3 linked regions of the Lepisosteus oculatus genome follow. The protein of the gene in region 1 binds, or shares a complex with, the protein of each later gene. Links are inferred from orthologs where the notes say so. Each region holds a gene or a part of one and is shown on either strand. Other genes may lie near its edges.

Region 1 (7,274 bases):
GCGCTGGTCCAAACCGCTACCGCTACCGCCAGCGCCGGGGTGACTCACGGCTCCTGACAGCTGTAAACAGCGCTGTCACGGCCGGCCTCCCGCTCCCATTAAAATGTCTTCCCCGGCTCCTGCAATTTTCCGAGCCGTCCCGCTTGCGTGTGCGACGACGGACGCCCTTCAGAGTAGATGGGCTCAATGGGACAGGCCATTACCCACCGGCGGGCCAATTGCCGACGACTCGACCGCGGCTCTTCCTCCAGCCTCATCGCGACGGCAGACGCCACACACATCTCGCCCAGTGATTCATATCGAGTAAACCTGCCCCGGCGTCTATTTTATTGTGACATTTTTTTTTTTCCTCCCTTCAGCTGCGGTTCAATATCTTGGCACGTCACCTCCTCCTCCCCCGAACTGAAACTTTTTTTTTCCCTCCTCCCCCTGTGCTGAATCAGGACACCACCGGTATGTGTGTGTGTGTGTGGGGGGGGGGGAGGATAATCAATATCCAACACCCCTTCCACGCATTTACAACACATACACCCCCACTGGCACCCCCAAACCACTCCATCACTCATACTTCAGACGCACATTTGGTACCGGCTCAATCCCTTACCACTCTCCTGATTGAAAATGCCTCCTAATTAGATCTGATTTTTTTTTTTTTAGGAAAAAAAAAAAGCTCCTTCGCTTTTGGCTCCCGCTGTCACGCGTGATCTTCGCACACGAGAACTGCACGGGCCACAATCACACGCAGGGCATGTGAGGAGGAAAAAGCCACCCCTCGGCGGGGGGCCACCACGAAGCAACGTCCAAGGGGACAGCCGAGAATCTCAACCATGCAGTTTAATGAGCTATCAAGCGGGATCGAGGAAAAACAACAGTTCCCAGAGGCACTTCAACAAAAAAAAAAACTTTCCTGCCTTGCACTTTCTGACACTTAGATCGCCCCCATCTCGTCGGCTTTGGGCATCTTGGAATACGGAAAACGCCACACACAAAAAAAACAAAACAAAACCCTCTTACATAATAAACTAGAAACCGAAACTCAAAAGCCTCCAAACGTCTCTAAAAGCCCGTATCCGTACCCGAGGCGTGACCCCCAAGCCCCCAGAATGAAGCGGTGTAAATGTCTTATCTGGGACAGGACCATGCATTGCCACAGCAGCAAGACGAGTTGCGTAACTCGTCCCACACTGCTCGACTCGGACCACAAACCCAGGTATGCGCACGGAAGAGAGCAAAAAAAAAAAAAGTTAAAAGACCTGTACGCAGCTACTTCCATAATTGTTTTTTAAAACAACTTCAACCCCCCGTTGTTGTTGTCGTTGTCGTGCCCTAACGAGCCCAAGTTCACAGCCTCCAGGCCAATATAGGGCATCAGGGGCCGAGGGCACCCTCAACCCGGAGATGCCAGTTATACACCCCCGGGAAGGCTGTAAACAACGAAAAATGACAAGTCTGCTCGGCAACGAACAAGCCTCCCTGCCAATAGAAATGAAACCAAAACTAACGGCTAAAAATCAGAAATAATCTCCCGACGCAGCACCCCGCAAAACAACCCCACCGGGCCGGCGAGCTTCCCCTCCAGTTGATGGGGGGGGTGGATAAGCCCCCCGACGAGACCCAGCGCATTTAATTTCCACAAAACGGCCCGGCCGCGACCAAAACACTTCGCCCAGAAGAGTTTGGACCTTCGTAACTCCTAAATACAGGACCGGCGCACCAGAAAGGTCTCGGATCAAACGCACGGAAACACATTTCTTTTTGGGAGGGGAAAAGAAAATAAAAACCAAGCCAGGGGAGGAAAATAACTGGAGTGTGTATGAGTGTGTGTGTTGGAGGGGAGGGGGGGATTTAAACGCCACAGAGACAGAAGAGATAGGGGAGAGGAAACTTTGCACGACCTGAGTAAACCTGCCTGTTTACTAGACAGCCGTGATCAAATGTTTTGGCCGGCAGCGCTCAAACCTCATCTGCACCGGCGGCCAGCCGAGACCACATCCACGGCCCGGAGGGAGAGCCGACACCGCGCCACGCCGCGCAGCCCCCCGCAAAATGCCGTTTTAATCCGGCCTTAAACTTCGGCAGTATGCAAATGCAACAGAGGGATTGATCAGCGGTGTTTGGATTGCAGTGCTCGACAGGGCCCCCAAGCCTGCGCTCCCCGCTACTGTGCTCTTTTTTTCTCTCCCCTCAGCTAGTTAAAAATGGCTGCTTTTAGTTTTAAATCTCTTACCAGACAGAATAGGTTGGAATGGCAGTCTTCCAGGCTCGCTCCGTTTGGTACAAAGCAAGAACTCATCCTTTCACATCGAGATCGACCACTCCATCGTTTCAAGTTCCCAAGAAAGAAAGAACAATTTTTCTTCTTTTTTTTTTTGTTGGGGTTTTTTTTTTTGTACGCGCGTGGATTTTTTTTTTATTTAAAAAAAAAAACCCCCCGTTAAAAAACACCTCACGCCGAGGATGGTTTTAAACAATCGGCCGGGGGAATGTAATTCAACAGCTCATTTAGATTCTCTCCTCCGTCAGCACTCTCTCTCTCTCTCCCCCTTCCCAAAAATAATCCGCCGTAAATTAAAAACAGCACCGCCACCTCCGCATCGTCCGCCTGATATAAAAAAAAAAAGAGACGCTCCTTGAGTGAGGCTCGGTCGTTTTCTTTTTTTTAAAAAAAAAAAACGGGGAAAAAAAAAGCACGAAAACGCTCTTAAAACAAAAAAAAAAACCCAACTCTCCCCCTCCCCCTTTGGTTAAAACGGTCTGGGTTAAAAAAAAAATCGCCCCTCTATTCCTCCATCGTCGCCGGATTCGGTTTAAAAATGAAAAACATCTTGTAAAAGACGATCGAAGGCTGGTGGAGGACTATATTTTTTCGGTCGTTTTAACCATTATTTCGGTCTCTGTTCCTGCTGGTTTCCATTTGAATTCACGGATTCCTTTCTTTAATGGCGGCCACAGGGACAACTCTGCCTCCCGGCGCCGATTGGCTGGCTCGTGGTCATGCGGGCTGGAAGAGGACTGGAAGTGACGGGCCCGGCCGCTAGGCGCTGCTGAGCCACCGGTCTGGACCCCCTCAGCTCGCCGTCCCGGGCGCTGCGCCCCCTAGCGCGCCGACGGCGCACTGCCGCAGTTATTTATATACCTGGGTACCCCGTGTGCGTGCGTGTGTGTGTGTGTTATTGTTGTTTTTGGTAGTAAAATAAAAATCGGTTCATTCGCAGCTGCTAGGAGGGGGGGGGGCTCTGACAGGCGTCAGGGGTGAGACGCCAATAATGATAATAATAATAAGAAGAAGAAGAATGCTGAAAAGAGAAAAAAGAAACACAACGTTTCGGCTGTGCAGTCTTCTTCGGGAGCCTTCTTTTCTTCTCTTTTCAGCATGGAGTAAACGTTTACTCGTTCCTTTGCAACCTATGCATGCTGACACAACCATCTACTTGAACTAATAATAATCATAATCATAATAATAATTATTATTATTTTGATTGTTGTTGTTGTTGTTGTTATAATGCATTTGGTTGCTTTTGTTTATTTCAGTTGTGGTGATGAAATACTAGGCTCTTCCTAACATCAAATGGACTGCAATAAACTACTTTTTTTACACCCCCCCTTCCCGGGGAAAAACCGAAGCATGGCTCTACCTCAGGTTACTGTGTTTCATTATGTGTCTGGTACCAGAACCTGTATACAAGAAATCTGGTTTCCAGTTCGCCCTGGGGTCCCAGAGACCTGTCGGGGCCAAACATTATTGACTAACCAAACGCACACAACTCTCTCCAGGATTCAGAGTGTTTCTGAGATGTTGCTTCTTGCCTCGAGAGCAGTGTTTAAATCATCTGCTGTAAATGACTGTAAAAAAAAAACCTGTGAACATGCCCACGGGAGAAAATAAATGCAAAGAACTTGAAACAGAATGAAATCCAGTAGACCCTGGCTTCGAAGACTGCTGCTTGACACCCCAATTCATTATTTATTGGTGCTGTTGTTGACGGTGTAGCTGTAGTGCTGCCATTCTTATTCCGAACAATAACCTTACAAGACGCCGCCGAGATAAGCTGATTGTCTCCTGTCTGTGCTGCTGGAAGTCCAGGTCAGCGAGGTCTGCAGGTAATTCAGCTTCGGCTGATCAATAGAGAAGCAGGGAATTTCGCAAAGAAGCTGGTGTTCACCCTGTTTAACCACAAGCCAGGCCTGAGAACCGGTTTGGTGTCTGTATCCTGGCTGTGAAACAATACTCTGAGCAGCCCCACCAGGCTCGCGAGCTGATGGTGCTGTTCTTAACGCTCGTAGTCTGGCTGCCATCTTTTTTTTTTTGTTCCACGTGTATTTCCCATTATCTGTGATTAAGTAAGTTATCATGCAATGCCATGCTTGATAGGTTACCGGGGTTATAGAATGTAATTCATTAACGAGAAGTGCAGCAGGCAGCCAGACCATTTCTGCGGGTCAAGTTGAAAAACACAAGAAACGTCAAAATAAATGTTCGGCTTGGCTAGTTTTCACAGCACCACCCGAACGAAGAAGAATGTACGTGACCTTGTATCGGCTCACAAAGGAAATACTGCAAAATATTGTACAAAAAGATGCAGTATTTGTTTTATTCTTAAATGAGCGGAGAGCAACACTGTCTTGGAATCGGCAGTCGTTTTGTGTATTAGTTTTCTTTATGACAGCTCGCACCTAGCTTGACACTATGTACAAGGCCGAGCTACTAGGTACATCTGTGTTTGTGTATGTTCCATGTTGCTTTGTCATTGTAGTGTATTATTGTTTGAATTAATCTATAAAACCTTAGTAAAATATAGTAAAATCACACCTATACTCATTGTATGCAAGGTAATACGCTTATGACCCTATGTTCCAGAAAGCAGTGATTTCTGCTGAGGCTACATTACTAGGTTTTTCAAGCGGTTTAGTGCTCAGCAGAGTGGAAGAGTTGAGTATTGACTACTGTTGTGATTTCAGTGTTGAATTGTTTTTGCGTATAATAGTCCTGTTGCGAATCACTTTGTAGAGTTAATACTGAGGCCATCACATACATCAGGTCATTGACGACACAGAGCACAGAACGAGGCTCTTCTTCAGCCTGTTCATTGTTATTCCTTGCAACAGGTCAAGGTCATCAACATTACTGTATATAGACAGCTCCACACCATATAGGAACAGGTCAAGGTTAATTCCATAATTCTGAACAGTAGAAAAGATGAAATACACAACATTTCAAGTGTGGAGCTTTCACACACCTCTAAAGGGCTTCACAGTTAGAACAGTGTGTTTTTCGCTCTTTTTATTTCTCCTTAATTTAACTTCCATTGGAGCCACACACCAGCACCTCTCCCTGATCTAACTTTGTCTATATGCAGCACATATTTGTTCCCAATGAAAAGTGTTGTATATACAGCGTGTTTTCTGAAATTTCCATTTGAGTTATCACATTCATATATCAACTTCACCGGATTGCTCAGATATTTAGTTTTTATGTTCTTATTAGAGATCACATCAGGAAGTTACATGGACGTCCGTTTAAATATGAGCACAGGAGGCTCTTCTCTTTACACTAAGGGGTGTGGGAGTACGGAACAAGCTACTCAATTAAGTTGCTGAAGCAGGAATACTGGCTTCTTTTAAGAAATACCTGGATGAGATCCCCGGTAAAATTAGCTATAACTACCACATAGCATTGATGGGCCAAATAGCCTCCTCTCGTTTGTAACTTTTGTAATGTAGAGGACAGCTGGTTATGCACATGCAGGAAATAGCATGTCATCCCATGTTTAACATCATCAATAATCTTGATTAGAAACTGATTCTTCTAAGTGAATTTTAAAAGTTAGCAGGATAAATGTGTTTTTGTCTATGAACTGGCTGCATCACTCTGCTCTCCTCCCCACTGATAGCTGGTGTGTGGGGAGCTTTCTGGCGCACTATGGCTGCTGTTGCATCATCCAGGTGGGGGCTGCACACTGGTGGTGGTGGAGGGGATCCCCATTACCTGTAAAGCACTTTGAGTGGAGTGTCCAGAAAAGCGCTATAAAAGTGTAAAGAATTTTGTAGAACCCTTTTAGGCGTTCTCTAAATGTGTTCCCCTCATAAAATAGATCTGTATTGTGCAACACCACAGAGAAGATGTAAAAATGAGATGAGAGATTTTTTTTTTACGACTAGATAAACTGCATTAAAAAGGACATGGCTTTGCTATTGTCCTCCTCTTGCAAAATCTACAACTTGTTAATTTCAATAACAAAGATCATGGCTGATGTCAGTTTGTGATATTTCTGAGGTGTGCTTCCCAACATCTGCAGTTACGAATTCTGATGAATCAACACTCAAACTGTCACAATACTCGAAAGATCTCTCATTGCAGTTTTCACCTCGATCACCACATTTCACTTCTCTGATATTACAGGACTATAGAAAATGTCTAAAAAAAATCATAAACCAGCTTCGATGTTTCAAACAAATGTTCTGAGTGGTTTGCAAAATAAAAGTGACAGAGATGTTTAACTTCAGAGCTCAGGCTTCTTTCAGGAAAAAGACAACACGGAACTATTTGGATTGTAACGTATGTACAGTATGTATACATTTCGAATCCTGTACGTACATAAGCAGCGTGGATCGTGCAAGCAGCAGGATGGTTCTGTTATCACTACATGTGCTCATAGATTAGAAACACCTACAAAGGAGAAAGCAAGAGAGCAAAAGAAGGACAGATGGTGAGAGGAACAGAGGTAGAGAACATAAAAAAGCATTGCGCATTTTAAAGTGCCAGACAAGGCTTCTCAAAAACAAATGGAAGAGGTATGCAGTAGGCACCATGAACTAACAGCTGAGGGTCCCTTTAGGAACATTTCCTATTCTATTCAAGCCCGCACCTTATCTTATTCTTGTAATTTAATACTTGATCTAAACAAGTCAGTCAGCTGAGATTAAATTTTCATGTACAATGATGACCTGGAGAACCACTTATACTGCAGGGCATGTACTGGTGCAATCGGACTAAAGTACATTGCTCAAGAGTACAGCAGCTATGTTTCCTCCAGGATTTGAACCCGCGCACCTGTAGCCTAGCACGCAGGGCCTTATCCACTACTCCATGCTGCTGTCTGACAGATGATGCCACTTGGCAACCAACCCTCAAACGCAGTGGAGACACAATAAATCCAATTTCTGAAAATCCTGATGACTGAGTGTGTTCAATGTACTGGTGGCTTTGCATTTGACAGGCAGCTGGATTTGTAGTGTTTTCCGCTTACACAACTCGTGAGTACTGCTTACACAAC
Region 2 (7,517 bases), on another chromosome or scaffold:
TTTGAAGTATTTTTTTTAGAAAATTCGATGGGGAAAAAAAAAAAACAATTAATAACTGTAGCTCCACTGACTGAATCAGTCTGAGACCACACTACATCTAATCCTGCAAAACTGAAATAAAATTGGTGCTAGAACAGGTGCTAAAGCATAAGTTTAAAATGAGAATCTAAAAAAAATGGAATAAAAAGGCTGCGATATTAAAAGCAAACTGCAACACTATTTTTATATTTCGTGGTTACAAAGAATAAGCACAGAAGAGTGCATTTCAAACCTTAATAAAAGTAAGATATACAGAGTAACATGTGATACCTCTAATTTACATCTCAAAATAGGCAAAATTTCCAGGTATGTGCAGCACTATATTCGGCGATTCAGAACAAGACATCAAAACGTCCAGTGATGTGAAGCTGCCTTATCACATTGTAAACAAGCAGACTTGTGAAAACATCTCTTGTAATCCCATAGAAATATTACTGTCGACTTCAAGATGGTTTTCCTTTCAAATACTACTTACTAACTCTGCTTGCAGATCACGTTGGAACGTTTCTGGGGTGAAACGTCTGCTGCACAACCTGCACTTATTCGCTCGGAAATCACATCACATTACATACAGTACTGTACAGTCATGACAGGGACTAGTGACCAGGAAGGGCCACCCCACGTCACAATTCACGCAGTTCTCGAGAACTCTCACCCGTGACGAGACCAAGGGTTTGTGACAACAATGGAGATTACACAGTCATTTCACAAAGTTCACGGTTCTGTGCTTGATTTGGAATTTGTCAACTATTTCTGTGCCAGCAATTATTTTGTTACAGAGATCTAATAACCGGTCTGGGAAGTTGGAACTGCAGTTCCCCCTTAAGCTTGCTTTGGTCAACTGGATACCAAACCTTTCTTAAGCTTGCAGCGCAATGAAAAGAGAAATGTCCACTCAAAAGTGTGACTTTTATTTCCGAAAGGTTCCTGAGATATTTTCCTGCTTGAACAACAGCATAGCCTCAGATAACACAATACTCAAACTGTTCATCCCCTAGACACTTGTGACTTCTGCTTATTTTTGCTCTCAACATGCAGCCAAAGAGGACATCAACATTTTAGCATACAGTACACAGCCCCTTTAGCCACACAATATCATATCTTTATTCTCACAACTCCTGATGTTGCAGCTTCAATGCGGTGTCGCATTGCTTTGAGAAAAAACACCCATGTGGTATTTGAAAGTACAAGGAAAAGTCAGTTTATGTCATTTCGTCAATGATGCTGCACATGGCCGCATCCTTGTCCCACGTTTTGTCCCTTTTGTCCTTTTCTTTGTCCGCCTGTCCCACCATGCAGCCGCCACCGGCCTCGTCCACGTCCATGGGCTCCGATTTCAGCCGGGGGTGCCCCCCGGTGCCCGCCTCGGGCTGGGGCAGGTCGTCGGGGAGGGAGGCCAGGCAGCCCTGGATCACCTCCACCACCCGGTCCAGGTGCTTCTGGAAGCGCTCGGCCGTCTCCAGCCGCTGGCGCTTCTGCACCTCCATCATCACGCGCAGGGTCTCGCGGGCCTGGTGCGGCCGGTACTCGTTGATCAGGTGGTGCATGTGCACGAAGAGCAGCTTGAGGTCCTCCAGCTTCTCCTCGCGCTTGATGCTGCCGGGGCTCTTGATCAGGATGTCCAGGAGGTCCAGGAAGTTCACCAGGATGGACATGTTGAGCTTCTTCAGCTCCTTCTTGTGGTCAAACTGAACAGGGTGGAGGCGCTCGATGCCCTGGCTTTCCAGGGGGCGGATGATGAGGTCGTCGCACTGGAACTGGTTGCCGAACATCATGTAGGTGTCCTTGATGGGCGGCGGGGGCTTGGGGGCGAGGGCCTTCCGGACATTTTCGTCCGTATACTCCTTTATGTACTGCATGGGTGGCGGGGGGAGGGCACTGACCTGCTGTGGCTCGCCCATGGTGGAACCTGTGGAGACAGCAGCTTTTTTTTTAAAACTCTGCTATGCAACTACATAACTCATTCTCGTGTTGCTAAACAGCACTAGTTTACCACGTTGTTATGCAGATCGGTTCTGAAATAACTTGCTTTAAGACAAAATACAGTGTAAAAAGCTGTTTTGGAATAAAAAACACACAATGCTCATGGAAAATGCAACTAAACATAAACGTATGTGCAAAGTTGTTGCACAAACCTAATAAAGATGGAGAAAAATTAACACTTTCTGATCAACAGTTGCCAATAGCATAAATGTACTCCATAACATTAAACCCAAACGTATGGTAAAGTAAAACTCCAATGTATGAGTATTGGGCGTGTGATTATTTTAACGAATAATCAGTTCATATTGACAATAAAATGATGAGAAAAATGTTTCAGCAATCGGCTCTGACCATCTATCTACAACAATTTTTTTTTAGGTTATATTTAAGTCCCGGACGATCTAAAAAAACCCGCAGAATGTAGCATTTACTTTTGTTTATACTACGTTGAAAATATTTGAAGTTACAACACTTGCCAAATAAGACATGCCTGCATCAAAATATTAATCTTCGAGACCAATCCAAAAGCATCTTGCAGGATAAGGACACACTGTACACCACATTCGTTGTGTAGCGCTCACGAAAACAAGGGGCTTACAACATCGCATATTTTTGTTAAATGTACCTTATAAACATTACAACTAGCCGTATGGACCACGAAGACACCAATGTGCCAAATTTAAAAATGAAATGTATTTACAGCGAACAGTTTACAAAAGTAAAACAGGGACTGTGCTGGTGCTGTTGATATGACTGCTATTCAGTGGGACACGCTCCATTCACCCACACTACCTGTACATATGTCACTTTTTACAAAAACGCAGGGTAAACTCCTACCTACCGTTCGTCGACTTTATAATTTTCTATTTCTGAAGCATTCACAAATGGGTATTGAATCCCTTGAATATATTAGATGAAGACATCTAGCATTCTCTCAACAACGCTCGGTTCTCTTCCTGCACAACAGGGGAAGCCCAGGCGCCATTGGCTGGAAGCCGTCTCGATCCTCTTTGGATCTCATTGGCTTTTCCAGTCTCTCCAGATTCATCAGCAAAGTCTATTGGACGTAACGCGTTTAATAACGTAAAATCCGATTGGCTACGAGAGTACCTCCCTCTCGCGGGCGTAGGCGGAGAAGTAATAGTAGGGTAATAGTTTGCAATACTTTACTAATAGTTTGCGATCGGAAGGGAATGTATTTAAATTGACAACTAATTATATGAAATGTCTAAAAAAATTGATAAAATAAAAATGGAAGTTTATTCTACTGCTTTTCAGCCTGGCCCAAGCGTGGGTTTCAGTTTAGAAGTGCTGTCTTTACTAATTAAATTATAAATTGATATCACCCTCCACCCCGAGAAAAATACACAGTGCAGGGTTTCATAGGAGAAGCGGTCCTATGAAGGAACTGAATAACTGAGTTTAACCACCCTTGGAAAGAACCTGGTTATTCCGACACTGGTTTCCGAAAAAAAAAAACTATTCGAAATTGTCTTCTGTGTAGACTAGTGCCACGATCTGACAAACCCTACATGAAAAGAAAAATCAAACCCACTTCTTCGGACAAATGTGCTGGACCATATCACTGAGTCTTGCTTGTTTAAGCTCTCTCGACCACAACTGGGTCAAGGTCTGTGTCAGTTCTGCATGTTGCTGTTTGAACTATGTAATTCAGGGTTCCATTTATGATTTTCTTATAGGAGCTGCACATCCCAGTGGATCTGGTGTTTGGGGGGCTACCAAAACGTGGACATTCAACTTTGAGAGTTTGTGAACTTGTCTCAGGACTGGGTGAAACAGAAACAGTATAATTTATTTATTGTCTGGACATGCTTTCACTGCTTATTATTTACTGTTTTGTAATGTACTGTCCACATTGTGTGGTGTTGTCGGTTGCACTGTGCATGTCCTAAGAGAACTGAAGTAAGAATCCCAAAGTACACGTACATATGGCAAAGAAACTCCTCTATTTATCTAATCATGGGGGCCAGAACTCTACTCTTTGTGAGCAGGTCTAGGTGTACTGCTTCACAGGAAGCAGGAAGGAGGGGCAATAGCCCGTGTTTGTGGCATTCTGGGAGGGACCCACACTGAACAGCTGTCCAGTGTGGTTTATGGAGAGTTCTGGGATGTGTTGCCTTATGAGGTGTGGGGTTCTTGGGGTCTCCGCCCTAGCCGCTCCTGACCTGCCAGTTGGTCCCTCACTGCCTGGGCGCGAACCCGTGTCTCTGGTGTCACACTAAAGGGAACTTGCCAGCTGAGCTAAAGGAGACTTCCCCCAAACCTGGGCAGCTAAGATCCCTGTTATATGGACATTGGCTCCTCCACCAAGAGCAGGGGTCAACAGCTGGACTCCAGCTTATAGGACTTCTAGGTCCAGCAGACCACGTGCAACACCTGCCACCAACCACTTCTGTATCCTGGTTGTAGCAGTTATGCACCAAGACCTCTAATCCAACTGATTGCCAGCAGGGGGATGGCTATCTCAACAGCGGGACTAATGAAGCAGGGAACCTGCAAACTGGGAAAAACCTGGCTTGGCTCTAGAGTCAGGATCTAGAGAGATGATATAACTAAGTACCTACAGGAAGATTCCATGGACTGATTCTTGTTCAGTAACTTTTAATGCATTTATGTCGACTTGATCAGTTCTGTATGCATGTCAATGTGTTTTATAAGACCGTGTGTGAGTCTGGAAGAGGGAATCCAATTGGAGGAGAGACCATCAAGGTTGAGACTGGGTAAGTGAGAGCTGTTGCTCTGCTGCAGACTTCTTCTTGGTAGAGAAGCTATCTTATACTTACAGTATGCCAATAAGAGAGCTAAAGAGTAAGTCCCTCGCCTCTTTTTTTTCTGAGCCTAAATGGGAACATGCCAGAATTACAATATTAAAGAGTTAAGCCCAACGCTGATATACTTATTTAAAACAAGCCCAATGCACTTTGGCAAGAGAGCCACATCTTCAAGACATGGTTATAGATTCAGATAACTGATTTGATGCTTTTGAGTCTGACGAACCAGGAGTACAAATGTTGACTTTCACATTACCTGGGAAGTGGTTAATTTGTAGATTTTTTTTTTCATTTTGTCTGTGTAAACTCTTTAGTGTTCATAAAGTAAAAAAAAAATGCTAACCTTTTCTTAATTTGTGAAATATAAGAAACAAAACACGTCTTCAGTTCATTTGTGGGAAGACAAAAAGTATACGCGAGGAGATTTCATTTTAAAAACATAATTTATTATCCCCGTTTTATTTATTTTTTTACCTATTTATATCATTAAATGTGTTTAAATATTCGTGGGATACATAATTGTGTGATGCAAATCAGTGGGTGGACAGATGACTCATAATCCAAGGGATTATTTATAATTTAAGATGTCTGTACTGTCACTACTGTACGTAGCACGGATATAATTTAAAGTGACAAATGTATTCATATGTTACAGCTTTCAGTTCCACTCCCAAAAATTGTATAAACTCTAGTTCTGTACGTGTATATTTGGATTTGTAAATGTATATATACATTTAAAAACTCGGTTTATTTCTGGAAAGATTTTAATTTACGAACAGAATTCAGAAGGAAGTGGTTTTGCCTGCTGCCTTGCCGGAAACTAAGTACCTCATATACTTCTTGATTGTTGTGAAGATAGTGCATTGCATTTTTTTTATTGTGTAAGCACCATACCAAACTAACAGTACACTGTCTCGGTTCTTCTCTTTCGACTCTAGTAAAAGGTTTCTCCATGAAGGATCATTTTCTTTAGGATGAATAGACAAATCATTTTAGAAGAGTTTCTTTTCAAGAAATCCCAGCAGAAACGAAGAACCTCACCTTGCAATTACAAACAAAGATATTTCGTTTTAAGTAAAGATGAACTGGCTTACTTCGAACATCGCCCTGGGGTACGTAACGTCATTTCACTCTTACTTTCAATGATAAAAGTAGAATTACTGTAATACAAGTGTATTTTATACAAGAACCTAATGCTTCCAAGAGAGGCACCTGAAACGAGCACGATATGTCTTCAGCACTGTTTAGCGCGATGTAGTTCCACAACCGCGGTTATCTTGGAAAAAATAAATAAAACAGCAATTAGAGTTACGCCAAACTTCATAGTCTTCTGCTTTAATTTATCCTGAAACCATCGCCTGTGGCATCCAGTAATGCAGTTAGATCATTGATATAGCGGCGTGAGTTAAAACGGGTTTCTTTTGGTTCTGTGTTATTGCAGCGTATAATGCACAAACATTTCAAAATGTCAAAAGGATTTTATTTTTTAGTAAAGCATAAAATTAATAATTTGCCATTTCAGGCACTGTGAGTTTCAAGGATTAATATCTTATGGATGTCAACATGTAGTAAACAGCTATGATGGTCTACGTAAATGTATTACTACATACAGTTCAATTTTTAAAATTACGTTTGATATATGCGTTACATCCACCCCCAAAAATTAAATAAAAAGATGCACATCTACTAATATCCATGAAAGGCTAGTTTTAGAACTAAAATAATTGGATAAGCATATGTAAGACTATGTTAAAACAGTATCACATTAAATAACTTAAAACAAAGTTTTTACAGTATACAGTACAGTATATTCCCAAACAATTCCATCGTGGTAAATATCTAATACAGACACAACATTCATAATTTACAATTATTCCTCCGCCTGTGAGTTTGATGTCATTTTTATGTAGTATTTTGTGTTTAAATTTATTGAATCAACATGTCTGTTTTCTGTTCGTTTGAGGCAATTCTTATGGGGAGTTAGTTGTATTGTACTTGCCTTGGACCTCAGTTGCTCCTTTTTATGTGTATTTTAAGAGCAATATTACAAGATTTGTAAGCCTGAAATACATTTTTGGTTTTACACAATGTTGGGAGTTTTAGCATATATTTAATTCAGTTGTTTTGTTAAATATGGGAATTGTTGTTGGCCAACATGGAAACCTTCAGATAAAAACATAGCCCTCCCTGCCTTTAATCTTCAAAGTTACAGCTGAACAGGCTACATGTTGAAGTTCTTGTTTATTTGTCTTTGTACTTTGATTAGTGTTTTGTGTAGTAGCAATATCATGATCCACACCCCAGGTGGAATCAAATTAGTCTGTCTTATTTGTCGACTCATGTTTAACTGATTTTTACAAAACAAGCTATAGCTTTGCTTTTATCCATTTAAAAGTAATAAACAAGTGAACTCTAACATCATTGCTAGAGAATGGTTGTTTCAGACATCGATAAATTGTATTAATCTTCTTGCCTTATTTTGCAGGTCTAATTCATACGAGGTTGTTAAATTTATATTTCAAAGTTGAATGTCCTTTTCCCAATATATATATATATTTGTGTAAATTCCACAGTTCAACTTTTAAAATAGATTTGAGAGTGCATTTTTTGTATGTATTGTAATATGGATATAATGTTATAGTCATACTAATATAATCATATAATAAAGAGTAAGCAATTGCACGTGAACAGCAGATATTTTTC
Region 3 (7,499 bases), on another chromosome or scaffold:
GTCAAAATCATGTGAAGAGTTTAATATCTTAAAAATAGAAGGTTTAGCCAATTAGGCAGCGCTGATCTAATGCTTTTGGATGTGACTGAAGTTTAATTGCATGCAAAGCAGGGCCAGAAGCAAACAGATGAATTCATTACATTAGCGTACAGTGAAATGTGAGGCATTCTTTCCCTGAAGATTTGACATATATGGTCATTAGTGGGCTAGCATTTATGACAGAAAAGGGAAAAGAAAACTGGCGCAGTAAAAGCAAAATTAACTGTTGTAGCAAAAAAATAAATCAGAGCCTGGGATGTCTGGGATTTCTGCATGGAATGATTAAAAGACGTGAGCGGAGACAATTGCAATCTGCCCAGACCTTCTTCTCCATCAGTGGGTTGGGCATCTACGAAGGACTATCCTACAATTGTTTTTTATTTAATTATCATTCTGCAGAGTGGATTAAACAGCTGTCATCACTTTCCATATGTGTAATATTTGGCACAGTAACATTGGAAATCTCTGTATAATTAGAATGATAGCACCAAGAATCTGCTTATCCGTTATGTATTTGACTATTTCTTGCGTCGAAATCATATCATAGTAAAGCTTGAACACTGATAAGTGAAAGACACACATGTGTTCTTACTATCATTCACAGTGCACATTTAATTATCTCAAGACATACAGAAGATGTCTGCAAATGTCTATAAAAGTATTAGCTCTTTTCTTCATCATGTATAATCAGCAAATCATTCAAAACATTATCGAAGCAAAGTAAAAAATAAACATTTTCACGGATAAAAAAACTAAATAGCAACATATTGTATATAATTAAATACATACAGTAATAGCAGTATGCTGTAGGGCATATCAAAGCATACATACAGTATATACATCTATACACATCTGCACATCAAAAGACTGAACCTTATGGAAAACCTAAAAAGACCCTCTGAAGAGAGCAAGCAGCTATGGAAAGTATATCTGGATGAATGTAAGAAAGCATACAAAAGGAGGTCCAGTTAATTTATAGAGATGCTGGTAGACTGTTGATCTGAATTTCAGCTTTGGCTTCTCAAAAACAAGGTCAGCTGGGTAGCTTGTTACACATTCGCATGACTTTTGAAAAGTGTGTCTTGTTGTCAGACATCTTCTTCTTTTTAATTTTTACTTGAGTCCCATTAGAATGAGTTGGTCAAATCCTCAAGGTAAAGATTGCCAGGACCTCTTGTGACCTGTTTTATTTAGCACTAAAGATATTTAGTTCCTCTAAGCTGTCATTGTGTGACATTCCTTCAAGATCAGTAATCTAGACACTATTCCCAGTCCCAAGCTGCAAAGTAATTTTTGTGAGGTGTCCACCAAAGTTGTACGTGGTATTCCAAACAAGATATGTACAGATTTTACAAAAATTCCCTTGATTTAAAATTTACCATCTTAAATCTGACTAACATTTTTTTTCTATTTTTAGCTCAACCTGAGCAGCAAAATGATGAGATTGGTTTTTTTTCATTCAGTAGATTCTTTATGTTATGTGTCCCTCTTCTTTTGTTTTTACTTCAGGTGTATATATTTACGAACTGCATGAAGTAATCCATCTGCCCTCTAATGAAATACCCGAAGGAGTGAAAGCATTTTAGAATTTAATCTGCTGCTTGTAAAGTTACTGCGACTCCTCCTGTTTTGAGTTAGAGGGAAAGCTCTTTTGCCTTTCCTGTAATAGGTCTGGCTGACTTGCCAAGACAATATCTTTCTCTATGCTGTATGTATGTTTTTCACATAGTCAAATAATTATTTATTTGAAACTTGGCAACCTTGAGCATTCACACTGCTTGTTGCTTCTACAATAAAAGATTAATTTTCTGTGCTGTGTAAGACATTCCTCCAAATCCTCAAACATTTTCAAAATCAACCTACCATTTGGTTGATATAACTCTTATAAACATTTGGTTTGTTATATTACGTTAAAAGCACAATCAAGTGTAATACAACACCCTACAATCTAGGTGTGAAAGGGTGGAGAGGCTTATAAAGACACAATAAGACCTAGTGAAACTCCAGGAAACCTTGAAAAAGACAAGTACATTTATGCACTGGGCATGGTAACGTGGTCCTATAGTGTGGTCAGCTTCACTTCCTTTCAGTTCCCAATTAACAGACTATTCATTTTAAAAGAATAAAAAAACGTATCTGTTCATTTTTAAGTTCGAGTTTTGAAGTAATATTTAAACCATTTTAAGTGTGGCCCTATTGTTGCTGGAAATAGACGTTGAATATTAACTGCTTATTGCTCCCAGGGAGATCTACCACAACTCCTACTAGCAGCACAGTGTCAGGAGAGGACGAGCAGTCCCTGTGATTGTTTTAAGCACTCAAGAGATTCTTTCCTCTTATGTCAGCTCTTATACCCATGTGGAAGGTGCAAAGGGCATTGTCTCCCCATAATGTGAATGAATCCGAAATGAGTTTAAACACCAACCTGCAACATCACACAATGTTTTTTCTCTGGTAATCGACGCTCAAAGATTTTGTGAGAATATGATTGTATTGAGGGGCCAGACCTTACAACAGATCCCTATTTTGTTTTTTACAGTGATAAGATTGCTTATTTCTTAATGCTTACGCGTCACATGTGACATATTGTGTCACATGCTAATGAACATGATCTCAACAGAGATGCTATTAAGAGAAATATGATTTGTTAAAAAAGAAAAATATATTTTTCCATATATCAGTACACCATAAAGTAATTTTGAATGTTTATATCTTCTGTATGCTAAACCCAGAACAGTGCTAGATGAACAGTAAACAGATAAATATTTCTCTCTTTAAATTATAATTTGAAATTAGACTTTTCTAATTTAAAGGGCAAGTTTTTTTTAAATATGTCTGGCTGTGTAGCAATTATCCCAGCGTGCAGCAACATTAATCATGCTGATGTTAACGATCACTTACACATATTTAATATGTAGACAAGACATACAGTACAGGTGAAGGTTGTACCCACTAGGAGTACTGAAGAAGTGTGCACCTGATGAGTGCTGAAGCAACTGACAGGTGTTGACAAATCCAATCAGGACTGGGTTCATCTCAACCAACCAGTCAGCCAACATTCATTCATTGATTCATTCATTGATTCATTCATTGATTCAATCAATCAATCAACCAACCAACCAACAAATCAATCAATCAATTTAAGTTTTATATGGTGCCTTTTACTCAAAGTATCTCAAGACACTTGACATATATGTCAGATCTGACATATATAAAGGGTCACACCCTGTGAACCACACTTGTGGCATTGTGAGAGGAATGTGCAAGAACAGCAGATCTCAAGGCTGTGATCTGGAACTCACAGATTTCCACTTCTTTGGTCTCTTAAAGAAGTATCTGTTCAGCAGATGAATTAAACCTAAAGTGGTAGGTTTAACTCTTTTCTCCAGCAGATTCAAGGATTTTCTATCTACTATATGTGTTATAATGGGACACATGCACAGACAGGTTTGGATATTATGTTTACAACATTTTCTGCTGTTTATGCATACATACCTCGGGAACTCTTGCCTTATTTGTTGAAACACCCTCATAGGAATAAATGAATGAATGAATGGAATCATGAAGGACTGCTGGCTGCTATATTTGATTCTGAACCAGGGCACCTTTTTATGAGGAGGGTTTCTCCCTAAATTCTCATGGGTTTCACCAGGTGTTCTGATCTCCTCTAACAGTCCAGGGACATTTCCAGATTAACGGGCATGAGGTGAGATTGTACATAACTATACACAACGATGGACTGACACTTTGTCCGTGGTGTAGCCCCATATTGTACTCTGTTTTTGGTGGTTTGGACTCCAGCTCACCATTAACCATTCATTGTCTGAATGAAGGATGAATTAGTTACTGAAATCAGATGGAAGAGTGATATGTAATCCATCATATGTAATTATCATTGAATAATTCACCTCACAACACCCCACACAAGGTATGTAGGTGATAAGATATAGCTTTATAAAACAGAATGCTATCAATATATGTTTAAATTAATAATAATATTCTCCTATAATGTATTGTATTATCGAAGGTGGAAACAGGACTGCAGGTTTGCAAGCTCACAGAGATGTATTGTCCCTAATATTCAAGTAGTGAGTGACAGTGAGAAAAAGAGAAAATAAATTGATGCAAACAGAATTAAAATTAAACCGGAATTTTGTGGGCACTTTAGGTGTGCTCTTGAGCATGGTACTTTACTGAAATTGTTTCATTAAAATGCATAGCTTGTAAAAATAGATTTAAAGTAAGCCGTTTTGGATAAAAGTTATATCTAGATAAAATATATTTAAAATCTTGTCCAGATTTGGAAAACATATCATTTGGATAATTATACATGCAATACATACGTTTTCATGCGTCTAATAGTCGAGGAATGCAAAGGAGCTTATCACACCGGACCTATTAAGCACAGCACAATGGGTTTTAGAGTAGGAAGGTTTTACATAGTGCACACGAAGTCGGAGTGATTGTGTCGTTGCACGTTAGGAAACCAAACGCCGGAATAATTACTTCGTTATTTTTTTAGGTTATATCCAGGTTTCCTGAAAAGAGAAAAGGAAAATAGTCCAAATTTCTACCTCGTTTTTTAAGTGATGGCAGGAAACTTCTGGCAGAGCTCACATTAGTAAGTCATTTTTGATTAAACAATATTAAACTACGGCGGTCTGTTAAATCTTTCTTTCCTTGGGGCCTAAAAGACCTTCAGTTTCATTAATATTTTTTTATCTGAAACTGGTTTTAGACAAAACGTGTTAAATTCAGGGCGATTTCATGCACTTAACACTTGTTTAATATCGAGATTTTACACTCGCGTTTCCAGTCTAACTATTTATCCTATCTTGTCCGAATAAAGTGTCTGTACTAATGAATTTCGAAATAACTTAGTAATTATTAACCTTCATCAGGCACTAATTCGATATAAAAATATTAATTTTATGGCTTCAGTGTTGTACTATATTTTTCTAAATTCAAAGTAGTTTTAATGATTTTTCTCTTATCCCTTGGTCACCAGTAGTATCTGTAATATCCTATTTTCTTAAACATGCGTGTGGTTTTCTGGCATGTTCTTATATGTGTTCTGCAACTGTTCTATGTATTGTCTTCATTCCTAAGTGAAAAAAATCATTGATAGAAACCCGACAGCACAAGACACAACAGATGTGACGTCATTAAGAGATTACATTTCACGAATAATGCAGAGGCCTAAAACGATTTGTGTCGCCTCAGATAGCTACCTTTTACATACCTAGTCGGTTTCTCTGGGTTTTAGTGTTGCAGAGCACGCAATCCAAGCGTGTATTTTTTATTTGTCCTTCCACAAGGTGTATCTGGCAACCAGCTAATTGTACAGTATATGTGTGTTGTTTCAGCATTTATTTTTCTCCTTTGCACACTGCTTGCTACATTTACTACCTCCCGTCCCTCGCCTTGGATAGAGCCTACTGCAGCATCAGGGTTCCTTTTTCTATGAGTGGTTTTGATCTTTTGATTTAAAATGGCGTGCAGCATGGTGGCACAGTGGTTAGCAATGCTGCCTTGCAGCACTGAAGAGCCCTGGGTCGAGTTTCTGGGCTCCTATCTGCGTGGAGTTTGTGTAATAATTAATTGCTAACCCTTACATAGCGGACACTCCATATCTGGGCACTCCACTCAAAGTGCTTTACAGGTAATGGGGTCTCCCCTCCACCACCACCAATGTGCAGCCCCACCTGGATGATGCGACGGCAGCCATAGTGCGCCAGAATGCTCACCACACATCAGCTATCAGTGGGGAGGAGAGAAGAGTAATGAAGCCAGTTCATAGAGGGGGATTATTAGGAGGCCATGACTGGTAAGAGCCAATGGGAAATTTGGACAGGAGATGGGGGTTACACCCCTACTCTTTTCGAGAAACGCCCTGGGATTTTTAATGACCACAGAGAGTCAGTACCTCGGTTTTTACGTCTTATCTGAAGGATGGCGCCTGTTTACAGTATAGTGTCCCCGTCACTATACTGGGGCATTAGGACCCACTAACACCTCTTCCAGCAGCAACCTTAGTCTTTCCCAGGGGTCTCCCATCCAGGTACTGACCAGGCTCACACCTGCTTAGTGTAACCCTGCGTGTAACAGGGATCTCAGCCTCCCGGGCTGAGGGAGTTCTCCTTTAGCTCAGCCGGCAGGTTCCCTGTTGTGTGGCTCTGGAGACCCGGGTTCGCGCCCAGGCAGTGAGGGAAGAACGGGCAGGACAGGTGTGGCAAGGGCGGAAACCCCAGGAGCCGTCACATTAGCTTCAGTGGGCTGCCGGTTGTGAGTTGCAGGGTGATATGGCTGCTGTCTGTATGTTCTCCCTGTGTTCACATAGGTTTTCTCCCACAGTCCAAAGACATCCTGGCAGGGTAGTTGGCCCTAGCGTGAGTGTGTGTGTGTCCTGCAATGGACAGGTGTACCATCCAGGTTGTATCTCTTTGTGCCCCTTGCTTGCCAGAAGATATGTGGTTGGATTTAACATGGCATAAATGCAAAACAGTTTGCTGAGGGTTTATGTAAAGCACAAAAGTATTTATGCTCTTACCTATCCCATTGTTAAATTGCAAAGTGTTTCTTTCTCTGTATATCACACAGTGCTTTTTAGTTTAGCATAGAGGGCATGGTTTATAGAATTGTTTAAAAAGCAGGGATAAGGGTTTTGGTGATGATGCCAATAGTATGTCTCAGACGACCTTGTTAAAGTGTTCCATGAGGAACAAATGGAACAATCCAGTCCCTAAATAGATAATCTAGTTAATTTTCCTGTAAGTATTACATTGAAAGCTTATCCAGTACCACATTTTTAATGAAGAATTTGTAAATACCTATTATGAAATGAGTTGAATACTTTAGTTGAAAAATTCCAGTGTTATGACCAGTTAACCCACTAACAGTACTTGACTGTGTAAAGGTTTATTCAAATGTCCAGATCCTCAGATAGTTGAAGTCATAGGTTCTCAATCATTTTCGGGCCCTGCATGAAGCACAGGCCCGTGGTGTCAAATTCTCCTGTGTTTGTTTCTGCTGTAGACGTTCTGATACATGTTCTAATCCTGTAAATGGATTGTCATTGGTGGTTTATTTCCAAATTGGTACATAATCAAGCAGTTGAGGAAGAATTTGAAAAATATCAAACCCTTTAAAGGAAAAAAAGCTGGCTATATCAGCTGCGTCTTGTCTTTTTTATGAGCGAGACTGTTAATATACTTATGTTGCCCTTTTTGATTGCCACTTTTTTGTCATTAGTTTGCAGTGGATCCTTGACAAACAGGATTTGATGAAGGAACGCCAGAAGGACTTGAAGTTTCTGACAGAAGAAGAGTATTGGAAACTGCAGATCTTTTTTGCGAATGGTACATTCTGTCAATAAGTTGATAGATGTGAAAGGGACATGATATTGCTGTTTTTCTTTCTGCTTTAATCTTTTTCTATTTGTGCTTCAGCCTTATCCACAC

The links. The genes of interacting proteins can lie anywhere in the genome.
Region 2: med13a (region 1) and med7 share a complex: the UniProt entries of both Homo sapiens proteins name them as parts of the mediator complex. The link is inferred for Lepisosteus oculatus from reciprocal best matches to the Homo sapiens genes MED13 and MED7.
Region 3: the proteins of med13a (region 1) and ccnc are in contact, whole or in part, in a cryo-EM structure (PDB 8TQC), measured with the Homo sapiens proteins. The link is inferred for Lepisosteus oculatus from reciprocal best matches to the Homo sapiens genes MED13 and CCNC. Residues at the interface, in NP_005112.2 of Homo sapiens: Tyr1342, Ser1630, His1631, Val1732, Lys1733, Thr1734, Thr1736, Phe1738, Gly1739, Pro1740, Gly1741, Ala1743, Arg1897, Met1898, Ile1901, Asp1905; in NP_005181.2 of Homo sapiens: Gln7, Gln13, Trp14, Leu16, Gln19, Lys23, Gln26, Lys27, Arg75, Tyr76, Glu144, Leu145, Asp147, Cys148, Ser221.

What each region holds. Positions count from the first base shown.
Region 1 is NC_090721.1:4,737,720-4,744,993, forward strand, and holds the start of med13a (mediator of RNA polymerase II transcription subunit 13a), read right to left. Parts: upstream 3,016-7,274; 5' UTR 2,294-3,015; coding exon 2,228-2,293; intron 1,043-2,227; exon of another isoform or gene 658-1,042; intron 454-657; exon of another isoform or gene 1-453. UniProt on the Homo sapiens protein: Component of the Mediator complex, a coactivator involved in the regulated transcription of nearly all RNA polymerase II-dependent genes.
Region 2 is NC_090706.1:30,433,488-30,441,004, forward strand, and holds med7 (mediator of RNA polymerase II transcription subunit 7), read right to left. Parts: upstream 3,020-7,517; 5' UTR 2,864-3,019; intron 1,949-2,863; 5' UTR 1,941-1,948; coding exon 1,242-1,940; 3' UTR 205-1,241; downstream 1-204. Other genes in the region: itk (tyrosine-protein kinase ITK/TSK), read left to right, coding at 5,789-5,926. UniProt on the Homo sapiens protein: Component of the Mediator complex, a coactivator involved in the regulated transcription of nearly all RNA polymerase II-dependent genes.
Region 3 is NC_090697.1:31,786,208-31,793,706, forward strand, and holds the start of ccnc (cyclin-C), read left to right. Parts: upstream 1-4,480; 5' UTR 4,481-4,628; coding exon 4,629-4,660; intron 4,661-7,290; coding exon 7,291-7,397; intron 7,398-7,499. UniProt on the Homo sapiens protein: Component of the Mediator complex, a coactivator involved in regulated gene transcription of nearly all RNA polymerase II-dependent genes.